Tribolium castaneum: one gene and its partners. The protein of the gene in region 4 interacts with the protein of the main gene of each other region in a pairwise test. Links are inferred from orthologs where the notes say so. Each region holds a gene or a part of one and is shown on either strand. Other genes may lie near its edges. The genes, in order: leukocyte receptor cluster member 1 homolog; methyltransferase-like protein 17, mitochondrial; Bx42; sip1; bys; Tip60.

Evidence for each region.
Region 1: the proteins of sip1 (region 4) and leukocyte receptor cluster member 1 homolog interact in binary tests that used the Homo sapiens proteins (3 or more experiments, as listed by UniProt). The link is inferred for Tribolium castaneum from reciprocal best matches to the Homo sapiens genes TFIP11 and LENG1.
Region 2: the proteins of sip1 (region 4) and methyltransferase-like protein 17, mitochondrial interact in binary tests that used the Homo sapiens proteins (3 or more experiments, as listed by UniProt). The link is inferred for Tribolium castaneum from reciprocal best matches to the Homo sapiens genes TFIP11 and METTL17.
Region 3: the proteins of sip1 (region 4) and Bx42 interact in binary tests that used the Homo sapiens proteins (3 or more experiments, as listed by UniProt). The link is inferred for Tribolium castaneum from reciprocal best matches to the Homo sapiens genes TFIP11 and SNW1.
Region 5: the proteins of sip1 (region 4) and bys interact in binary tests that used the Homo sapiens proteins (3 or more experiments, as listed by UniProt). The link is inferred for Tribolium castaneum from reciprocal best matches to the Homo sapiens genes TFIP11 and BYSL.
Region 6: the proteins of sip1 (region 4) and Tip60 interact in binary tests that used the Homo sapiens proteins (3 or more experiments, as listed by UniProt). The link is inferred for Tribolium castaneum from reciprocal best matches to the Homo sapiens genes TFIP11 and KAT5.

What each region holds. Positions count from the first base shown.
Region 1 is NC_087394.1:36,567,326-36,570,139, reverse strand, and holds leukocyte receptor cluster member 1 homolog, read right to left. Parts: upstream 1,587-2,814; 5' UTR 1,482-1,586; coding exon 1,459-1,481; intron 1,413-1,458; coding exon 533-1,412; 3' UTR 517-532; downstream 1-516. Other genes in the region: Usp39 (ubiquitin carboxyl-terminal hydrolase 39), read left to right, coding at 1-232; FAD-linked sulfhydryl oxidase ALR, read left to right, coding at 1,684-1,794, 1,846-2,057, 2,103-2,265; oocyte zinc finger protein XlCOF6, read left to right, coding at 2,736-2,814.
Region 2 is NC_087394.1:11,231,893-11,234,763, forward strand, and holds the end of methyltransferase-like protein 17, mitochondrial, read right to left. Parts: intron 1,606-2,871; coding exon 1,443-1,605; intron 1,395-1,442; coding exon 1,251-1,394; intron 1,198-1,250; coding exon 1,138-1,197; intron 1,090-1,137; coding exon 948-1,089; intron 898-947; coding exon 653-897; 3' UTR 513-652; downstream 1-512. Other genes in the region: uncharacterized protein LOC135265467, read left to right, coding at 172-455. UniProt on the Homo sapiens protein: Mitochondrial ribosome (mitoribosome) assembly factor. Binds at the interface of the head and body domains of the mitochondrial small ribosomal subunit (mt-SSU), occluding the mRNA channel and preventing compaction of the head domain towards the body.
Region 3 is NC_087397.1:9,848,794-9,852,864, forward strand, and holds Bx42 (puff-specific protein Bx42), read right to left. Parts: upstream 2,668-4,071; 5' UTR 2,360-2,667; coding exon 2,346-2,359; intron 2,294-2,345; coding exon 2,130-2,293; intron 1,987-2,129; coding exon 563-1,986; 3' UTR 515-562; downstream 1-514. Other genes in the region: ATP-binding cassette sub-family F member 1, read left to right, coding at 1-85, 354-504; qm (terpene synthase), read right to left, coding at 3,874-4,067. UniProt on the Homo sapiens protein: Involved in pre-mRNA splicing as component of the spliceosome. As a component of the minor spliceosome, involved in the splicing of U12-type introns in pre-mRNAs.
Region 4 is NC_087402.1:11,591,432-11,594,964, reverse strand, and holds part of sip1 (sip1/TFIP11 interacting protein), read right to left. Parts: intron 3,166-3,533; coding exon 2,906-3,165; intron 2,733-2,905; coding exon 2,314-2,732; intron 2,262-2,313; coding exon 2,055-2,261; intron 1-2,054. UniProt on the Homo sapiens protein: Involved in pre-mRNA splicing, specifically in spliceosome disassembly during late-stage splicing events. Intron turnover seems to proceed through reactions in two lariat-intron associated complexes termed Intron Large (IL) and Intron Small (IS).
Region 5 is NC_087398.1:4,030,312-4,033,709, forward strand, and holds bys (bystin), read left to right. Parts: upstream 1-1,361; 5' UTR 1,362-1,447; coding exon 1,448-1,582; intron 1,583-1,627; coding exon 1,628-2,099; intron 2,100-2,144; coding exon 2,145-2,803; 3' UTR 2,804-2,890; downstream 2,891-3,398. Other genes in the region: kto (mediator of RNA polymerase II transcription subunit 12), read right to left, coding at 1-254, 308-857; Tango11 (transport and Golgi organization protein 11), read right to left, coding at 2,963-3,398. UniProt on the Homo sapiens protein: Required for processing of 20S pre-rRNA precursor and biogenesis of 40S ribosomal subunits. May be required for trophinin-dependent regulation of cell adhesion during implantation of human embryos.
Region 6 is NC_087402.1:5,803,539-5,807,431, reverse strand, and holds Tip60 (histone acetyltransferase Tip60), read right to left. Parts: upstream 2,589-3,893; 5' UTR 2,194-2,588; coding exon 2,143-2,193; intron 2,088-2,142; coding exon 2,030-2,087; intron 1,980-2,029; coding exon 1,911-1,979; intron 1,862-1,910; coding exon 1,028-1,861; intron 978-1,027; coding exon 815-977; intron 754-814; coding exon 537-753; 3' UTR 516-536; downstream 1-515. UniProt on the Homo sapiens protein: Catalytic subunit of the NuA4 histone acetyltransferase complex, a multiprotein complex involved in transcriptional activation of select genes principally by acetylation of nucleosomal histones H2A and H4.

The DNA of each region.
Region 1 (2,814 bases), on a different chromosome or scaffold from region 4:
GTTTTTGACGCCCGAAGTTAAGGCCAAACATAAACATACGGTCTATGATCTAGTGGCGAATATTGTGCATGATGGAGAGCCGGGGAAAGGCACTTACAGGGTTCATATTTTGCAAAAATCAACGGGCAAGTGGTACGAGATGCAGGACTTGCATGTGACGGATATTTTGCCGCAGATGATTACGCTGACGGAGGCTTATATACAAATTTATGAGCTAAGATTAGAAAAGTAATTTTTTACGAATAAAATTCTATCACCGGAATTTTTGTCTTTTATTTGTCCCTCCCTGATTTTTTTCTGTAATGAAACGTTTAGTCCAGAGAGCGGTTTGTTTTTGGCCTGATTTGGTCAAAAAGCTTTTGAGAAATCAGTCAAATCTTTAGTTCTTGAACATACAGATTAGTTATATTTAAAAGATGAATGCTTTATTATTAATTTTTTGTGAGACATTGTTCAAATAAGTTCGGTAAACTATTCGATTAAAAAAATATTTCGTGAATAAATAAGGAAATGCAATTGGATTTTAAGATCTTTATTTATAATTCTGCCTTGCCAGTTCTGGATTGAACTGATTATTGTACTTTTTGCCCCCAGTTTGAGGCTTCTCTTTTTCTTCCTCCGTCTTTTCCCCGCGTAATTTGGCCAAAAGCCCTTCAGTTCTCTTTCTCTCTTCCCTCTCACGTTTCAACCTTTCCATCCTCAAAAGTTCCAACTTCCGCTTCTTCTCAAAATCGACTCTCTCTTCTTCCGAATCCGACTCACCACTGGAGCGTTTCTTCCGCTTCTTCTTCTTCTTTTTGTGCTTCTTCTTACTTTTTCTACTCTCTTCACTGCTACTCCTTGCCCGTTTTTTCGCCTTTTTCTCAATCGTCTTGAGCGTCAAGGCTACGGCTTTATGCACCGGCTCTTCACTCTTCTTCACACCCACACCAGAATCCCCCAGAAATTTCTTCATCACACTTAAGGGATCTTCCCGAAGTTTACTTTTAAGCCCCACTTCGGTTTTATCATTCCTGAACCTGTCTGGTAGCTCGTCATACCAATTTTTCTTCCCTAAAGCCTCGTTAGTGTCCTGCCCCAGATAAGTCAAGTAACCGATTTGTTTCTCGTACTTTTCTTTCTCTTCCTTTTGTTCCTTTTCGTGTTCTTTGTTCGTAGTTTTAGTGTCAGCAATACCTTCCTCAACCTCTTGGAAAAAATTGACATGACTGGTCTGAGCAGGCGCTTCTTCCTTACTGAGGGGAATAAAATCATTCGTGGGGACACGTTCACGTGCCCTTTGCCTCAATAGTTCAGTTCTGGCCTCGCGTTCGGCCAATTTTGCCCGATCTTTGCGGGCTTTTTCCTCCTCAGCCGCCTTGGCCTCGTCCCTGCGAACCCGGGCGATGTTGTCTTTGGAGCGCACATGCCACCTAAACACAACATTGGACCTGACTGTGCCTAAATCAAACAACCAACCTTTTCTTTGGAAGAATATTCATCCCTTTAACTATTTACAACATTACTGTCATTCAAGTGTCAAACGTCAAGGTGACACTTATCGTCATCCTTTTCCAACTCAGGGAAAATCCTATCTTGTGTTTCTTTCTACCTGTCAATTTTGACAGTCATTTACATTTTTGCACAAACTTAACCAACAATTTCCAAAGTTGCATTTATTCGTTTAATAATGCATTTGCCGTGATGTCGCGCCGGCCTTCGCCCCTCGATACCGAAAAGTGTCGCCAGTGTACAAGTTTCTCGGACTACGCGAAAATCGCACGACGCCAGGCTTATGAAGAAAGTTCCGGAGAAGTGGGGCCCCCTTATTTTGGTAAAACCTGGTTAAAGTCACACGATTTGTAGGTGTCTTCGACCACTGGCTCGGGGACATTCCGGACCGATTGTCCCCTGGATAAGGATGAGTTGGGACGTAGTTCGTGGGGGCTCCTTCACACTATTGCAGCGAAATACCCCGAAAACCCCACCAGGACCGAACAGAAAGACATGACTAGTTTTTTTACGTTATTTTCCAAGTTTTATCCCTGTGATTTTTGTGCCGAAGATTTGCGCAAAGAGTAATTACAGTGTTTAATTATTAAATTTTAAATGATTTCTTCCAGGCTGAAGGCAGATCCACCTCAAATCGCCTCTCAGGAAGACCTAAGTCAGTGGCTTTGTAGATTGCATAATAGAGTTAACAATAAGTTAGGTAAACCTGAATTTGATTGTTCCAAAGTTAACGAGAGATGGAGGGACGGGTGGGCCGACGGCTCTTGTGATTGACCAAAGTGTTTGCTTGTAGTTAATAAATTAGGTAATTAAAAAAGTGTTTCATTTTTCAAAGTGACCCCACGTATGCGCATGCGCATACAAAAACACCTAACCTTAAAGTGTTGCCCAGTTTTCAAATTTCACGGTTTTTCTAACTTTTTGGGCTAAAAAAACGATACACACGGTAAATTTATTACCTCCATTCCTTTTTCTATCAAATTTCGTATTGAAAATTGTGAAAAAAAAACAAATTGTGGCAAAGTGAGGTTATGTCACTCGTGACATTTCACAAAAAATTGCATTTTTTTCGAAAATAAACCACTTTCCTGTCAATATCACTCGGCACAATTGAATAACACATTACAAGGGTTTGTTTTTGGTTAAATTATTAGGTGCATAAGCTCCATTTTAAAATTTGAGGTTAGAATTTTTTTTCAGATTAAAAAATGGTTAAATAATCAATTGCCACACTTTTGGGGGTAATGGACGCGGAGGATGAGTCTACGGCATATTTGAAATTGTTTAATGAGGGCCCCCATAATTATCTCCTGCACAGTAGCG
Region 2 (2,871 bases), on a different chromosome or scaffold from region 4:
ACTCAATGTTTCTTTATTAAGTCCCATACGGAGACATAAGCTGTAAAAAGTGATACTTTTCTTGCACAAATCAAATATTTTGTTGCACTATAAGATTTTGCACAAATTAGTACAAGTTTGCAATTTTTTCCTCTTCCGCAAAGCCATAACCACTTTTTTATTTCGTTACAGACCAAGGCCATACCTACACGAAAAACACCGAAAAAGAGCAAAAGGAGTTGTACATAAACGAATGCCGCACCGAACAAGAAAGTCTAAAGCAGCAATTTGTCGAATTTAACCGAATTCTCGAACTCAGTCTCGGTCAAATGACCGTCTATCGAGTGAGAATAGAATGCGTGTGTGACGTTAAGAAAGCTGACGAACGATGTGCCAAATTCTTGCCTCAGGACGAGCAAAGTTGGTCGATGTATTTAGGAAAGCAAGGAGATGGAGTTTTTCATACACGAAATTAGTTCATTATGTTGTGTTATTAGTTAAGTTTTAGAGGATTAAACAAAATTGTGTTGACATAATAATCAAATAAAAGTGTAATATGTGGTAAATTACAATATCTTAAGATTCATAAGACAATCTGCAGTTTTAGTTTTGTAATTAAAACATTTACAAATAAATTTATTTTCGTTTATTGTTGGCGCAAGTGACGTACCTGTTACCTCGCCTCTTCTTCATTGTCTTCCTCTTCTTTGGCTTGTTTCTCGAGCGAAACTGGGAGCAAATCACCCCACTTTGCAGCTCTCGCACAATAAAATAAGTTTTTTCCATGTTTTGAGGCTGTAAAAATGACTTCGTCCAAATTTGCATTTTTGGTACACATTCTACAAATCGTATGTTTTGACCTAACTAAAGTGTTTCTAATAATTCGTGGCCATTGAGGGTCCAAAGGGTCCCTTTCTCCTATAAAATAAATAAAACCATCGTGAAAAAAATATTTTTTTGCGAAATACCTTTCTTTAAAACAACGTATGAATATTTTTCCGATTTCCTTAAACTAACAGCTCCTACTGGTAAGCTGAAATAAAATGTTTCAAAATTGCAAGGAGTGCCATCGTTTTGGGCAAATCTCGGACAAACTTCGTCATGTGGACACTGAAATTTTCAAAATTATCACGTAAATAACCGAAAATAAAAACCTACTGGACTGAAGACGTGTCCAACTTTTGTGTGAAGAATAAAATCTCTGATTTCGTTAACCACCTAAAATCGTAGTGTATTTTTTTAAATGAAATAAATTTTTAATAAAAATTTACTTGAAATCCGGCATTTGTGCCATGGTCGACTACAACAAGATATTTTTGTGTTTTGTTCCATAAATTTAAAATTGTGTCTAATCGGGCCTGTCGTGATGGTAGTTCCAGTAATGTGTAAGCACAGACGACTAAATCGTAGGTTGTCTGGAAGAATTATTTCAAATTGCTGTTATGGTAAATAAAATTACAAACATTAGTTGCGGGCAAAAACTGGCGATAAAAAACACCCCGTAGAGACATTTTGTTTGTGCCTTTTCCGTCTTGGAGTAGGATTTGGGCTAAGTCGTTCATGTCTCTGGATGAGTCCACGTTGAAGTATTCGAAAATGTGTTTCTTCCAATATAAATTCGCCGCCCTTAAAAAATGGACAATCTAGTAGTTAATTATTGATAATCAAATTTTAAGTTTCATATAATAACGTTAACCCAGCCCCCTTTTTTCGACTTTTTTACACGAAAGAGAGTGTATTGTAAGTATTAAAAATAGAAATAGAAATAGTTTTATTGGTGTTTAAAACATAACACAAGTCAATAAAATAAGAAACGTACAAACTAAAAAAAATCTAAAAGTCACTGAAATTGCAACGAAAATATTCATCAAAGTCATAGACAAAGTTCACAATTAAAAAATCTTTTAACTTTCTTTTAAAAACATAAATTACAAAAATTAGTTGGCAACATATTATAAAATTTGGTGCAATAACATCTTGGTCCAGTTTGGTTCCGTTTTAGGCTATTAAATTAAAGTATTAAAGTATTAGTTACTTAAGATTTTTTGGTATTCTAAATTCGTTTGTGAAAACAATGACCTAATTTGTATTTGAGGCTTAAAAAATATTTGTAATTGTAAAAGTAGCATTTTTTTCAAACAGAATCCAAATTTTAAACCCAACTGTGCTATAAATTCTCTTTTCCTTTGATGTGTCTTTCATTCTGAGAAAAATTTAGAATGAGCAGATTTTGAATCACAAATCAATCTGAAATATGGCTAATATTCGATCTACCACCTTTTCACCAAAACTTCATTTATTTTTATTGATAAATGTCAAGGTAAATATTATATAATCGCGGTAAATACGCTTTATGAATTTTAACAAATATTTTTCATTTTAATTCAAAATAAAAACGTCACAAAAAGATTATTTCGAAAAATGGTAATTAAATAAATTAAATGCGATCTTTTTAAATTCTTTAAATATACTATCTGTTGTGTGAAATTCAAAGCAAATAGAATGCGATTCTAATAAAAACGAAAACAGAAAAAATCTGAAAATTCAAGTACAGATAAGCTTTCACGAATTAACGACAGATACCAGACCTTGTTTTGTAAAAAAATTGAGGACTAGTTAATTAATTTTTCAGGAAACGAAAAAACCTCGTCTTTTAAAAAACATTTTTTTATAATAATTTTATCTCCTAATAAAATCTAAAGAAATGAAACAAAGATTTTTAATAACTCTAACCAAACAACTTTTTTATTATTTTCTTATTATTAAAAAACCGAGAAGTTTTATAAAATAATATAAGTATTAAATACTGATCATTTATTATTCTTTACTGATCAAAATCGAATTTATTGCTGATCGTTTATTACTACCCAAATAATACTATTAATAATTCTT
Region 3 (4,071 bases), on a different chromosome or scaffold from region 4:
TTGAATCGATTGATGCACTAGCTGAGGCCATTAACGACTTCAGTGGAGGGGTTATTATAGTGAGCCACGACGAACGACTTATACGGTAAGAGCAAATAAATGTACTCTTTCTTTTCTTTTTTCGCCTCCCTTTATAGAAATTTTATATTTTTCGTCCTAATTTCAGGCTGCGAAGTATGCGTTTACCAGCACTATTAGAAGTGAATTTAATTTTTAATTTGCATTAGCTACTTAATTTGTTCGTTAATTTAAATTAAGATGAAATTCCATCGAGTTTTTGTAACAATTTCGGCTCGACCATAAAACTCAATTTTATTGTTTTGTGTAAAAAAAAATTACTAATTTTGTTACAGTGAAACTGATTGCGCCTTGTACGTAATAGAAGACCAGACCATAAACGAATTAGACGGCGACTTCGACGACTACCGCAAAGAGCTCTTGGAGAGTCTGGGTGAAGTCATCAACAGCCCAAGTATTGCAGCAAACGCTGCCATTGCTCAATAATACAACAAAAAATTTCTACAATTGTATTTATTTAAAAAACCCAAATACAATCAATATTTTAATCTCTTCTCTTTCGCTTATCCCTCTCATCCCTCCTCTCCGGTTCCTTGCGTTTGCTCGCCCGTTTAGCCTGACTCAAGAACTGATCTAACCCGAACGGATCTTCCTCTTTCTCAAATTGTACAGGTCCAGACCTTGGCGCATTCCGATCAGTTCCACTAAACTCCTTATCCGGAACAAATCGGTTCGTTTTGACGATTTTCTCCAAATCTTCACCGTATACCTCCTTATCCACATTCCTACTAGGTCTGTACAAGTGATTGGCCATTGAGCCCCCCTCCCTCCACGGCTTATCATAAACATTATACGCGTCATCGTCCCCATATCCATGCCCCAAACCTTGAGCCTGTCCGAATAATCTCTGATCAAACTGCACCTCGTTTGAGGAGACTCCTCTGGCAGGCATCCCCAAAGCAATCTGCTCGGAAATATCTCGCTCTCGCTCCCTCTTCAACTTTGAACGCTTATCGGGAGCAGCCCTTGCCAAGTTTCTCTCTCTTGCTCGCTCCTTATGCCGGTCCTGTCTCAGCATTTCTCTCTCACGTTCCTCCTCATCTGTGATTTTAGCATCAGCGACTTTGATCCCAGCACGTTCATCTCGAGCTTTTTGAGCCAACTGTCTCAAATGCTCCTCCTTTTGTTCCTTTTCCTTCTGAGCTAGTTTTTTCTCGAGTTGGGCGCGTGTTTCCACAGCCTCTCGTGCTTTTCTATCGGCAATATATAGAGCCTCAGCCAACTTTGCGAAATTCTCGTTGATGTGCAACTGTTGCAACCCCCGACCATCTGCAGCTAAACGCTTATCTAACGGAACTGTGTAACCCTTTGCATTTTTCCAATTTGAAATACAGGGCGGGATTTTCCACTCCTTTTGCTCCTTAACAGTGACACGACGTGTGGGGCTGTGCAAAACGGGCGCTGGGGGCGAAGGGGGCCCCCTTGGGATCTTCTTATTGATCTTGAAACGTGGGGGCTCCATTGGATCAACTTGTGCTTCGACCAAACGAATGACGCGCTGTTTGGCACCCGAGTTGAAGGCGGCCCCTTGTTGTGAAGGGGTGTAACGAATAAATTCAGCGGGGCCTTGTTTTTCGGCACATCTGACTGGCATTGCAGCTGCGATTTTTGAATTTGTTAGGCGTTGTAATGCTTGACGGGTTTTTTCTGTGATATCTTCGATTTCCTCCTGAGATGGTTTAGCAAGACTTGGGTCATTTTCTGTGGTTACTTCAACTGGTAACAAATCGGAGAGTTTTGAATAGACGATTTTGTCTTTGCCGTGGCCTTGACGTGCGATTACGTCGTATTTGACTTTGCCTTCTGCGTCCAATTGGACGGCCAAGGCGTTTGAAGTTGATTCTTTGCCCTTTCGCCCCATGTCAAGAGGGTACTGGGCCACGTGGATTTCGGGAAATGCGCCTCCATCTATAAATTGCAATAAAATCAGTGATAGTGAAAACTTTTCGACGTCCTTGACTGATTATTTGTAATAAAATTTAATAGGACCAATCAAAAAAGTTGGTCCCATCGTAGTTAAATTTAATTACAAAAAATCGGTGGCTAATTACCTCCATAGTCGGTGTGGACTCGTGGGACCCAACCCCTTCTTTGTCCATACGGTGGGGCAATGCTTTGGGCTGTTACAACAGATGTGGAACGTTGAGTTGTGGCATTCTGTTGCCGTCTCTCGTCGTCCCGATCCCATACGGGTTGTATGGGGGCGGGCAATAAACTACAAAATAAATGCGTCTTACTCTACAAGCCCAAAAGTGAGGTTAGGTTACCTGGATAATTCCATTTCTTTTCCTAAATCAGCAAAAACTTGACAATAGCGTAAAATATTCACACTGCACTCATTAATGTAAGTTTTTATTGTTTTACTTCACTAGTAAATCGGAAAATATGTAAAAATCGATTGCACAACAGTGGCTTTCGGGAAAACAATTTCCGCAAAATCTTGATATTATATTATCGCTGTGCGATATTCAAAGCAATTTGTACTTAAAAAACGCAACTAAGTAATGGATTATTGTGTGTAATTCTGTTTTATAAATACACCCAAATTAACGCCACTACTAAAACGTCAAATAGACGGAATGATTTGTAGAGGGCGCGGTTGAGCATAGATTGTTTGTTCCGAAGTTCTATAAGTTCGAAAATACAGACTGATCCAGAAATACTGAGTCTGTTGGCAACACATTTGAAAGTGTTTGTGCTTGTAATTTGTAACATTGCAACCGAATTCGATTTTTCTTGACAACTATTTGACGTACAACCCCACAAGAATGTTAAATTGTTGTTAACTGGAAGCGTATTCCATTAGTATCCTTAAAAATTTAAGTCCAGTGTCGCCAACAGACTCAGTATTTCTGGATCAGTCTGTATTTTTAACGTGAGGGTATCCCCAAAAAAAAAGATGCACAACCACTCACAGACTTTTAGCTACTAGTTACTTCAACAAGCAGACCCTTTACTTACGTAGAATAAACAAAAAACAATAAATTTTTTAATATTTTTCCAAAAATTTAGAAAAACATTCATGTATCGTGCGGTTGCCATTGATAATTGGCAATAATTGGTGGTGTTTGTGAACTTCTAATTTTGAAAATGTACTTCTCCAACATATAAATAAGTGCCTTAGAGCACTAAAGTGAAATTTGAATTTTGGAACTAACACCATAACACACTGTAATTTTTAACCGCTGTAGAACTGTGTCTAGCACTAAATTGAACTAAAAACACTAAAACATATTCAACCGAAGGCTGTTTACTATTGAAATTCGCGCTTTTTTGGTGTTGGTACTTCTGTTACACTGTTACGTTGGTAGTGCTGCAATATCGGCGCGCCTTTTAGCACCTGTCATGTTTTGTAGTTTAGCATTATTTTTGTTTAACGCTGTTTTAGTGTTTAGTTTGTGTATTAGTAAGGATTTATGGTGTTAGTGGGTTTGTTTCTCGTTATTTAAAGACAATCTTATTCAGAGGAGGAACATTTGCAGGAATATTTCCACCCTTCTTTGGTAAGTGCACATTTTAGTTGAGTATTAATTATAGCTTTAATTTAAACATTTTGACGCTTCAAAAGGTGAAATAAAGCATTCTTATGCAGAAATTGTAAGGTGCGGTACTAATTTTAGTAACGTTTTTTGACTAACTATTCAGTACTCAGAGAAAGAAAATTAGTCTTAGCACAGACAGTACACGGTGTCTGTTTGCTCCATAATAACAAAAAAAAGGAACAATCGATGAAATAGTGTTTATTGTAGCAACTTAATATAGATATCACAATAATTTAATTTGATCATGAAAAAATTATTCCAACTTAAAAATATACTCCATTACTTCGGCCATGTACGGGTTTTCCCCCAACTTATCAACTTCATCTTGGGCCTCTTGCTTCAGTTCTGCCAACACTTTCTTCGTGTAATCAAAACTTCCGTATTTCTCAAGCAACGAAACGCAGTATTTCTTTACTTCATTGTCTTTAGTTCTTTGCCTTAAAATATCTTA
Region 4 (3,533 bases):
CGTAGAAAACTGGGAAAATATCTGGCTTTTATTTTAGAACTACATGTATTTTGTCCTAACAGGCCTTTAATTATGGATACTAATGACCTGCTAGGTAAATAATAACCATTTGCTAGGTAGAAATGCTTGGTATTGATATAAAATTTACTAGGTAAAATAATGATATGCTAGGTAATCTTTCGTGTTTAAATAATTGCCATTGATTAAACTATCAGTAGTAGTTACATTAATTTCACATTACACATTGGAACAAAATTTGGCTGTATAACTTTAAAACAAATCCCTGTTAACAGAAATCTTCATTTTTGTCAAAAGTTTGTTTCAAGTATCCATTAGATGCTTTTATTACCTTATTGGCAAATTGGATTTAGCTTTCTTAAATACAAGGTGTAAGCGAAGAAAGCACATTAATTTTAACGAGTGGCAAAACTCATCAAGACAAACACTTTTTCTATGTACCATTTTTGCAAAATCGCATTTTTTAAAATCATCTTTCCTCTTACAAATTGAAGAGCCTTTTATGAAATGTTCCAACAAAGAAAAGTAATAATATATTTTATTCATTTTCATGAACTTGCTTGGAAACGGTAATCTTGTTGACTAGATAACATTGCGTTCAGTGGCGTGTAAGAAAATTGTGTAAGACTTTAAAACAATTTTAAATTAAAAAACTAAAAGGTTTTGAAGAAAAGTTATTAGGGAAAATTGGTTTTGATTAATAATTAATGTATGTATTTCATATTCATTTACAGCCTGTATAGTTACAACAAAAGGAGTAACTATAGTTAAAAGTAGCACAGCATCTCGAAGACTTATCGTAGGTAGTCTTGTTGGTGTTTAAAAACTGTCATAAGTTCGTAACACAAGTCAATAAAATAAGAAACATACTAAAAATAAAACTTACAGCTTACTGAAAATATATAGCAGATAATTCACAATTAAAAACTCTTTAAGCTTCCTTGTAAAAATACATAAAGGTAATAAATTACAAAAACTAGTCAACATATAAAATTTAGTGCAATGGTATCTTAGTCCAGTTTGGTTTCATTTAAGACTACTGTCTTTTATGATAAGCTTGTTACTAGTACGAGTATTGTAAGTATGGTTTTCCGAATGATAACGAAAAGTTAATTATTAGAATTATTCGTCTCTGTAATGAGAACAATCGATGGCGACAAGAAGAATGGCCCCAAGTTAAAATACTATACGAAAGAAGTGACTGTTCAGGGACAAAGTATGGAACTTTAAGAGTTGATATTCTATTACCTAATTACTGTCTAAATAAAAACGTGTTACCTTGATGATCCCATTGAAGTTTGTTAATTGGTTGTCAAATCTTTGGTGAGAATCTTACTAAAGCAGTACTAATTTGACTTTTCTTTTAACTGGAACGTATTTTTTATGTACAATTTTAAATGAACTTGACAAACAAAACAAGGAAAAAACTGAACTTTAAGAATTCAAATTTTAGATTTAGTAAAAAATACAATTATAAAATTTAATTTTACCTTCTTTACGTTATAGCTTATTGCATTTGTTTTAAAGTATATTTAGGAGGGCCTGAGTGGAACGAATGCGTCCATTTCAATTATAAAAGACTATAAATACAGATAAATCCTAATTGAATTGTTAAAAAGGGTACGACTACTAGTGTAAAAAATTATAAGCAATTATCAATTTGCGTTCCGGGTTATATGTTATATTTCTGAAAATGCAGAGATATGGTTGAAAATACAAAAAAGTAAGTAATATAGTTATTGAAAATAAAATTTCTTACTTGTTTAATCTTCGGACACCGGGTCAACATAAATTTAATGTTGACTCTATACAAGGATCACTCAGAACAAAATTTTAAATTTCATCTTTACAGCTTTCGCTCTTTAACTCCAATTCGATTTATTTGCATTTGTAAAACCTTGTTGACATTGAAAAATGCCTCAACCCGGGAAGAAAGGTATCAACTTCCACATTGATTTTGTCAATTTTAACTCTTTGCGGATTCATTTAACGCCTGCATTTGTTTTACTACCTTAATTAATTAAAAATGATCGAACCTTTAATGGTGGGTTGTGCTAATAACTCGTCCGAAAGCATATTTTTCCAGCCCGTGTACCAATCAGTGACTTCTGCATAATTCGGGTTGTGATTCAACCACATGGCTAGAGTTTGTCGCCATCTGGGGAAGAAAAATTTATCTAAAATGAGTGTCATGTTCCCGACTGATAACATATCACTCCAATCCATGACCCAATACCATGCGTCTGAAATTAATTCGTTAATTTTTTGTGTTGCTAAAAACAGAACGGCACCAACCTAAATGTTGTTGATGTGGGTTTATAACTAAGTTTTGCATACAAAGCTGTAGCTTTGGTACAATGTGTTTGAGCAGGAATGCAACGAAGACGCCATCTGGTAGCACTCTTTGCCACGGTTTTAACATTGGCTTGGCTGATTTATCAGACGGGTGCCAGTTTGTTAAAGCCACACCGAGTTTTTCCTGAATTATTGGATAAATAATAGCTTGAAGTCTGGTATCGAGTAAAGGTATCCAGGGATGTATCCAGACATGAATTGGGATTGTGTCTGTCAGGGGATTCCAGATATTGACTTCAGCCTGGATTCGAGGCATGATAAGTTGGTCGTAAATGTTGTCCAATATCCACTGCGGCAATAACGGCATCCAGGTTTCAATCAGCGTTATCAGAGGATCACAATCTTTTGGATTCCAAGCACTGTAACGAAATCGATTCGACTTAGATTTATTCCCGACAAGTGTGCTTGTTTTGCTTTTTTTAATCAAAGTATGGTGAATATACAGCACACACGACCATAATACAAAATTCGTGTTATCATTAGAAACTTCCTAAAGTGACAACGAGTGTCGGAAAACAATAAAGTAACTTACCTAACACAAATTCGCATTACAGGCATCCAAGTGTGCCATAAGAGACTATCATATGGCTGAATTCCCATATTATTACCTTCTAGTGTCCCACGTTGTCTGGGCTTCTCCAGAATGTCCTTCCAACGGGCAAAAATTTCCATGTATTGCTTGGGATTGGTCAGTGGCGACCAACTGGCGAGGGCCGATGTCAAAAGAGGACCAACCAAACCAGGCGCCAATTCACCCAATTCGTACCTCACAAACTCCTCGTAGTGGTTCTCCTGAAAATGTATCCAAAAAATTAAAAAAATCAGCCATAAAGTGGTGACGTGAAATAACCAAAAAAGGCGATTACGTCGGTGCAAGCCGTAAAAAATTCAGAATAACTGCTAAATTAAGCGAAGGAACCTACAGGTGTTCCGTTTTTATTGTTACAAATTTAAACAGATGATAGAACATTTAATTTTAAGAGAAAAGTTTTTTATAAACATGTATCGAAAAATACTCCCTAAGGGAGCTACATCCCCTGAAAGGGATGCTTCTTTTAGAGAGTTTTTTTCAATATTTCAAAAACCATTAGAAATAAAGTTACAAAATTTAGAACGGATAATAATCTTTACACGCCTAATCGAATTCGAGGATTAAATGT
Region 5 (3,398 bases), on a different chromosome or scaffold from region 4:
TTGTGACCTCATTTTTTCCAAAAGTTCGAGAATCCAGGTCAGGACTTCTTGCCTGTCCATGAGGCCCTCCTCATACATGTATTTGAGCAACTGTGTGCAGTAAATCCAATGACGCATTGCGAGTTTTTGCTCAGTTTCGGTGGTCGCAGCCTGGGTCAGAGAAGGGGTTTGAGGGGGCTTTTCACCTTGGGAGTAATAGTCTTGCAGTTTGAGGATTTGTTCTTTGAGGAATTTTAGCATCGTTCCGGTCCATTCTACAAGAAATTGTAGTTAAGTGTAAAGTTAATACAAGTAATAAAATAGAGACCTGTAGTCGGGTCTGGCATTTGCCGTTTTTTGATTTTGGCCTCGGACACGGCAACTGTGTAAGCCGAACTCAACTTGATAAACCAGGCGGCCCGCATCATAGGCACCTGATACTCGCACAGCATTATAAAAATCTCCTCTTTCTTGTTGAAATTGGGCGCTTTTTTCGACAAGTGCATCAATGGTTTGTTCCCAGCTAGATCCTTAAACCAGAGTTCTATGGCATTTTTTGTTCGTATTGTGGCGGGCCAGAAGTTGTCTTTGGGGTTGATTTGTTGCCGCTTCCTGCCGGAATCGGGCAACATGCTCAACTCCTCTTTGCGTTTGATAATGTCATTGAAATAATCCCCGACTTTGCTTGCCGAAATATTGCAGTTTCTGGCCGTTCCAAATTCGTCGCTTAAGTGGGTCATTGTCAGGAACCCATGTTTAACGTTGACACTCGTCAACTCGTCTTCTTTTTGCTTCGGTTCTTGCGGGTAAACGTCCGGAGGGCCGATTTTCGGCTTTTTCAAAGGTCGTTTTTCGTACAAAAGGCTGCTATTGAACATTTTGGCACAATTTGGGATTGCTATTATTTTGAACACTGACAAGGGGGCCTTTAGGCAGCTCCAATGTAACGCATCGCTACAATTTAATTAAAATCTCGACCCCGGGGGCTTCATTGCGGGGGAAAGTGCCAACACCTAAACGAGAGGATGGGAGCTAATATTTCAGTTTTTACACCGATTTAGACAAATAAAAAAACGACAAAGTATTGAACAAGCATTATGTAAGCTTAATTAGGAAAAAATGTAGTGATAAATTACCGTTTTGACGAAATAAACACACTTTTATGCACCAACAACACAAGTTTTGAAGATGGTGTCCTCCATCTTGACCTCTAGGGATAATAAAAAAATCCCTGCTAATTGCTTAATTTTATCGAATTTTAAACTAATAGCGCAATAGTTTAAAAAGCGAATTTTTAGAAAATTAATTTTGCAAAATATTTTACCCGATTTGACCCAATCTCGTACTTAATGCTGCTGTTTTCCAATTTAATTTTAAATTGCCAATGTCGCCAACCCAAACCTCTGACAAGTCCTTTTAGGTTACGTCCAGATAGTTTGAAGACACGTGTGGTAAACAAATAGGGATAATGGGCAAAGCAAAGCGCCTGAAGCCGTCTCAGATGGGCACCAAGGTGCCCCTGGACCAGGACATCGAGGACGCGAAGTTTGCCAAGTCGAAAAACCGCAACAAAATCCGTCTAAGACAAGACGACGATGAACAAGTTTGTATCGCTTTATGATTGTCTAAAACCAATAAAAAATTCCAGTTTGTGGACTCGAACCTCTCGCGGAAGATTCTCTCAGCCGCCCGAGAGCAGCAACGCGAGCTGGACTCAAGTTTCGGCCCCACGCCGTCCGAGGCAAGTTCAAGCAAGTTTAAAGTGTCCAAACTGGGGGACGATGACTCCGAACCGGAAGAGGAAGACACCCTCGAACCGGACACGTTTTACGAAAACATTGAAATCAATGAAGAGGATGAGAAAGCTTTAGAGAAGTTCATGAGTAGCAATCCGGCCCCGAGACGCACTTTGGGGGATATTTTGGCCGAGAAGTTTACCGAAGTTAAGACGCATTTTAGCGAGGAAGGCTCGGTCAAAATGCAGGAGTTGGACCCACGGGTGGAACAAATGTATCAAGGGGTGAGGGATGTTTTGCGGAAATATAGGAGCGGCAAGTTGCCGAAAGCGTTCAAAATCATCCCCAACTTGCGGAATTGGGAACAAATCTTATACATCACGGGTAATTAAAATCATTGTTGATGCCCAGCGGTTAATTAAGTTTTAGATCCGCCAAGTTGGTCAGCTGCTGCCATGTACCAAGCCACCCGTATTTTCGCCTCAAACCTCAAGGAAAAAATGGCTCAGAGGTTCTATAATTTGGTTTTGTTGCCCCGAATTCGCGACGACTTGGCCGAATACAAGCGACTCAATTTCCACTTATATCAAGCCTTGAGGAAAGCCCTGTTCAAACCTGGGGGCTTCATGAAGGGAATTCTCCTACCACTGCTTGAAAGTGGCGATTGTACGCTCAGGGAAGCTATTATAATAGGCTCAGTTGTCGCAAGAAACTCTATTCCTATTTTGCATTCTTCTGCCGCGATTTTGAAAATCGCGGAAATGGATTACACCGGCGCCAATTCGATTTTTTTGCGTATTTTCTTCGATAAAAGATACGCGTTGCCGTATCGTGTTGTGGACGCAGTTGTGTTCCACTTTTTGAGATTCGAGCGAGATTCCAGGGAATTACCCGTTTTGTGGCATCAGGCTTTCCTGACATTTGTACAAAGATACAAAGCTGATATTTCAAGCGAGCAAAGGGACAGTTTATTAGAATTATTAAAGAAGCAAAACCACCACGCTATCACACCAGAGATCAGAAGAGAAATTCAAAATGCGAAATGTCGAGACGCTGAAACCGCCGAACCAAAAATGGACTTTGACTAAATTAATGGTTACATAATTGTGATAATTATATTGAAAAAAATCGGTTACAACAAGACTATTAATAAAAACTTGGAAAAATTAGGAAAATTATGTTACTTAAACCAGAACTAATTAACGTCAATACGATTTGTTCCTAACTTAGGGATAAACTAGTGCTCCCTAATCTCTATTCATCCAAATAATGACTTTCAACAACAAATAAGCGACTCCAAAACCAACTAGAAACTTCTCCTTTTGGAGCCGGCTCAAGTTTTCTAATTCTAAGGCCATCACACGTCTGTTGAGCTTCGCCATTTGCCGCCTGAGGTGCAGCACCTCTTCGGCGGCCGTCAGCCTCTCGCCGCTGCCCCCGATCGGGGGCGTAGTCTCGCGTATCGTCAGATTCAAATCCGAATCATCAAACGCCTGTTTTTTCTTTGGTTTAACCACCGGAATCTGGTTCAGTTCCGGGTCCTCCATCTCCTCAAGAGTGGGAAAGGGGTACTTGTCCAGAGTCAAAGTCCTGGGCGGGGTCGCAACCCGCACATCCCCGGGGTACGGTTCTGGGGGAAGGATCGAGTTGTCAAAGACAATTTCGCGTGGGGGCGCCCTTGTC
Region 6 (3,893 bases), about 5.8 Mb from region 4:
GTCTTTGATTAACCCACATCCTCTCCCATCAGTATTATAAACAAACCCAAAACAAAATATTACACAATAAAACGTACGAATAAACAACGGAAAACGTTTCATTTTTTTATTAATTGAAGATTAGTTTTGCAATCGCAAGTTCATTGATTTCAAAATTCACAAGGTGATGAAAAACGACTAAAACGTTTGAAAAGTAGTCCACTTTAACTCACACTTCGCTTTAATAAAAATAATTCGACGATTTTCAGAGTAAAATCTGACAATTGCGAAACTAGTGAGTTTCTAAATAAAAAATATGCGTAAACGCAAAAATAATACCACTTTCGACTTAATAATATCTTGGACGTAAAATGTGCCAGTAAATACAAACAAAATGCATTTTCGTAAAAAATGTACTACTGAACCCGGTGTTTTCTCCATGTTTCTCCGTCAAAACACAAGTTCGCAGTGTTACTATTATTAAGTGAGGAGGAACAGTGTGGATTGGCAGAGGAATATGTTAATAAAAGAGAAAATGTAAAAAATCATTTATTGATCTACCACTTGGCGCGTTTGCCCCAATCTTTAGGTGTCCAATGCAGACACTTGGGGTCGATTCGGATAAGTCTACTATCCATGGCTTTTTTGTGACTTTGCATAATTTCCTGATTTAACGTTATAATATACTGGCCTTTGTAATAATTGATTAAGTTTAAGTTTTGTAAAGTTGAGATGACGTCTTCTTTTTTAATACTTGTCAACTCACAAATTTCACTTTAAAGTGAACAAACATTTCACAATTACGAAAAATAAAGAAATAATCAAAAATACTTACTTGATCGTTATTTGTGGCTTCTCGTTATCACCCACTGGCTTCATTGATATTAAGATTTCTAAAATAGCTTGTGCCCAGTAACTCCTATACGAAAGCAAACCCAAATCGGAGAGAGGTTTTTCGGGAGAACCCGTTTTACCTTCGAACTTTGATAATTCATAACCTGAAACAATTCGTGAAATTTCGACAACAAAAATTCGCACTCAAACTCACTAAATTCGATTAGTAATTTTCCGTAACCCTTTCGCTGATACGGAGGCATGGTTAAAATACACGCGACGTTAAAATCTTCCGTTGATTCCTTCTCTTTCGAAAAATAGCCAACAATGTGAAACCCTCTATTATCAAAAATGGTCATTACGTAAAACAAAAACGGGTCCGTGTCGTAATACAGTGTTTTATGATCGAGGAACAGCTTCGCCAACAAACACAAATTCTGGGCGTAGACTTTATTTTTCCGCCCGTCAATTTCAAAAAACGAGACGTTTTCCTTGCGATAAATCTCATTTCCGGGCGGGTGTCTCAAATTACATTTGACCAAGTGGCGTTCTAGACACTTCCTGCTCTTTCGGTACTTGAGGCAAAACTCGCAGATGTATATACAGCTCAAGTTGACCATTTCTTGCGGATATGGCGCAAAATACCACGGCTTTATCCTGTGTTTCCCTAACTCGATCATATCGATGTTCTTCATCCTGGTGACCACATCGTCATGGTGCGACACCATGCTCCCAGACTGCCTCGGCCCTGGGGGCATCTGTGTGGGCCCATCTTGCGAGTCTTCGCTCTCAAGAGACGGCCCTTTTCGTTTCCTATTTATGCGTTTTTGCAACGCTGCTGCTAGGACAGCACTGCCGTTGACAAGTTCGGAGGCAGCTGTCACAGGGCTCGAGGGCCTTGATACCGAACCGATGGCACCACCGCCCCCAATGTGAATTTTTTTCGGAGTTGAGACTCCAGTGTTACTCCCGCCGTCACGTCTCGGGAAGTGGACTTTACGAGTGTCGAGCGATTCTTCGGTCACCCATTCGTCCAAACGCTTGTTAACTAAAACCCAAGTTAGTTCACAAGGAACGAAACGGGTGTCCAATCTTACAATCAACGTAATGGACGTAGTACAATTTCGAGCCTTGCACGTCCTTAATACTGATAATTTCGGCCAAAGCTGCAATTTAAAACATAAAAACGTGCAAAATGTGCCAAAGTGGGGCTTACGCCAGTCGGAAGTGCCGGTCATGTGAACCGGGAGCCTGCATCCTTCCACTAACGAATTCTAAAAGTGAGGTTGTGTCAACATTTTGGTTTTGCAATTTTTAATGAAAATATACCACAGAATCACAAATTGTGCTGTCGTCGATTTCCTCCATTTCCACTTTCATCGATTCTGCTTGTTTTTCACAATTTCGGGGGGAAAAATTGTAATTATTGCCGAACAAACCTCACCACCACAACTACCGCAAAAAACATAATGCGCAATATCCATAACGATTTTTTTCCATTGCATAATTGTTATCCAAAATAATGTTTTGATGCGACTTATCTGTATATGCACATTCGGCGAACCGAAACAATACACACAAGTGTCTACTATTTAATAAATTATCATTATCTAGTCATGGGCGTAGGGTGTTGCTCGGGGGTTTCCCCCGAAACCAGCACACTCGATAAAATCACACAATTCCATTCTCAGACTCATTGTTAAATTAACGCCTCACCAAGCTTTGTTCACAAATTGGTGATAACACGTTTGACCTTAGCTTCGCTTGAACGCAGCGTTCTCCTAATCGCAGCCCACAGTTCAAACGGAGTTTCGCCTATTTGCTCTTGGATTCGCAACAACTCGAAGAAAATTTGGACGAACTAGGCAAGGACTGTGCAAAACGAGAAGACATAGAGTCGATTATTTTGCACCACAACCAACTCACAACGCTCCCCAAAAACTTGTCAAAAGTCACAAACGTCCAAGTCCTCCATATCAGCAACAACGGCCTTATGACCTTACCTGATGTTTTCGAGTACTGGCATTTAACAACACTGGTTGCGAAAAATAATCGCTTCAGTAACGAATCCCTCCCGAAAAGTTTCGCTGAGAGTGCGAGCATGCAGGAGTTAAACCTGAGCGGGAATGTTTTCGAACAGTTCCCGAACAACTGTTTGAGTTTACTAATTTAAAGTACCTGTACCTAAGAGGGAATAAAATTAAAACAATACCGAAAAACATAAAGAAATTAAACTGGTAAGTGGGGACGATTAAAACGACCACACGTGATAATGATTGCAGCCTTCAAATCTTGTCGATGGGTGGCAATCAATTAGTGGAAGTTCCTTCAACTCTAGGCCAACTGAAGCAACTGCAGGCTTTGGTGCTTTGCGATAACTTAATCGAGAGTTTGCCGTCAAATATCGCCAATTTGCACAACTTGAAGTCGCTCCAGTTGCACAAAAACAAATTGCGCACTTTGCCGCCTGAAATAATCGCGCTGAAAAATTTGACTGAGGTAACAAATAAATCACCTTTATGTAAAAATAAAATTCGTTCGTCACAGCTGAGTCTCCGTGATAACCCCCTTGTTGTCCGTTTTGTGAGCAACATAACACATAACACGGCTAGTCTGAAAGAATTGTCGGCTCGTGTGATAAAACTTTTCGCACCAAAATTTCACATTGCCAGTTTCTGTTTAAATAAAAATATGCATTTTTATTTTTCCATTGACTGCATGCGAAACTTTTATAATTTTAGACGTTTATAGGCAAATACATTTGTCATAATTAATTTTTCTAGATCAATGCTGTTCTATTTTGAATAATTCTGTGTATGAATGTTACTAAATTTGACGGATTTTGACAGTGAATATTTCTGGTAATGACCTGTTTTAGACTTGTGTGACGTCACATCCGTGACGTGTCCCGAGGTTAGGTGTGCGGCGCAGGCGGCGAGAGCGCTTCAGTCGACAGCGAGCAGCGGCACGGGTCAGATCGGGAGCGGGACCGGGAGGCGGGGCGAAGCGAAGCGAGGTGAGGTGAGGCGGTTTATTTAAATTATTGTGTATTGTGCCGTTTCGTTCAATTTATTCAGTTT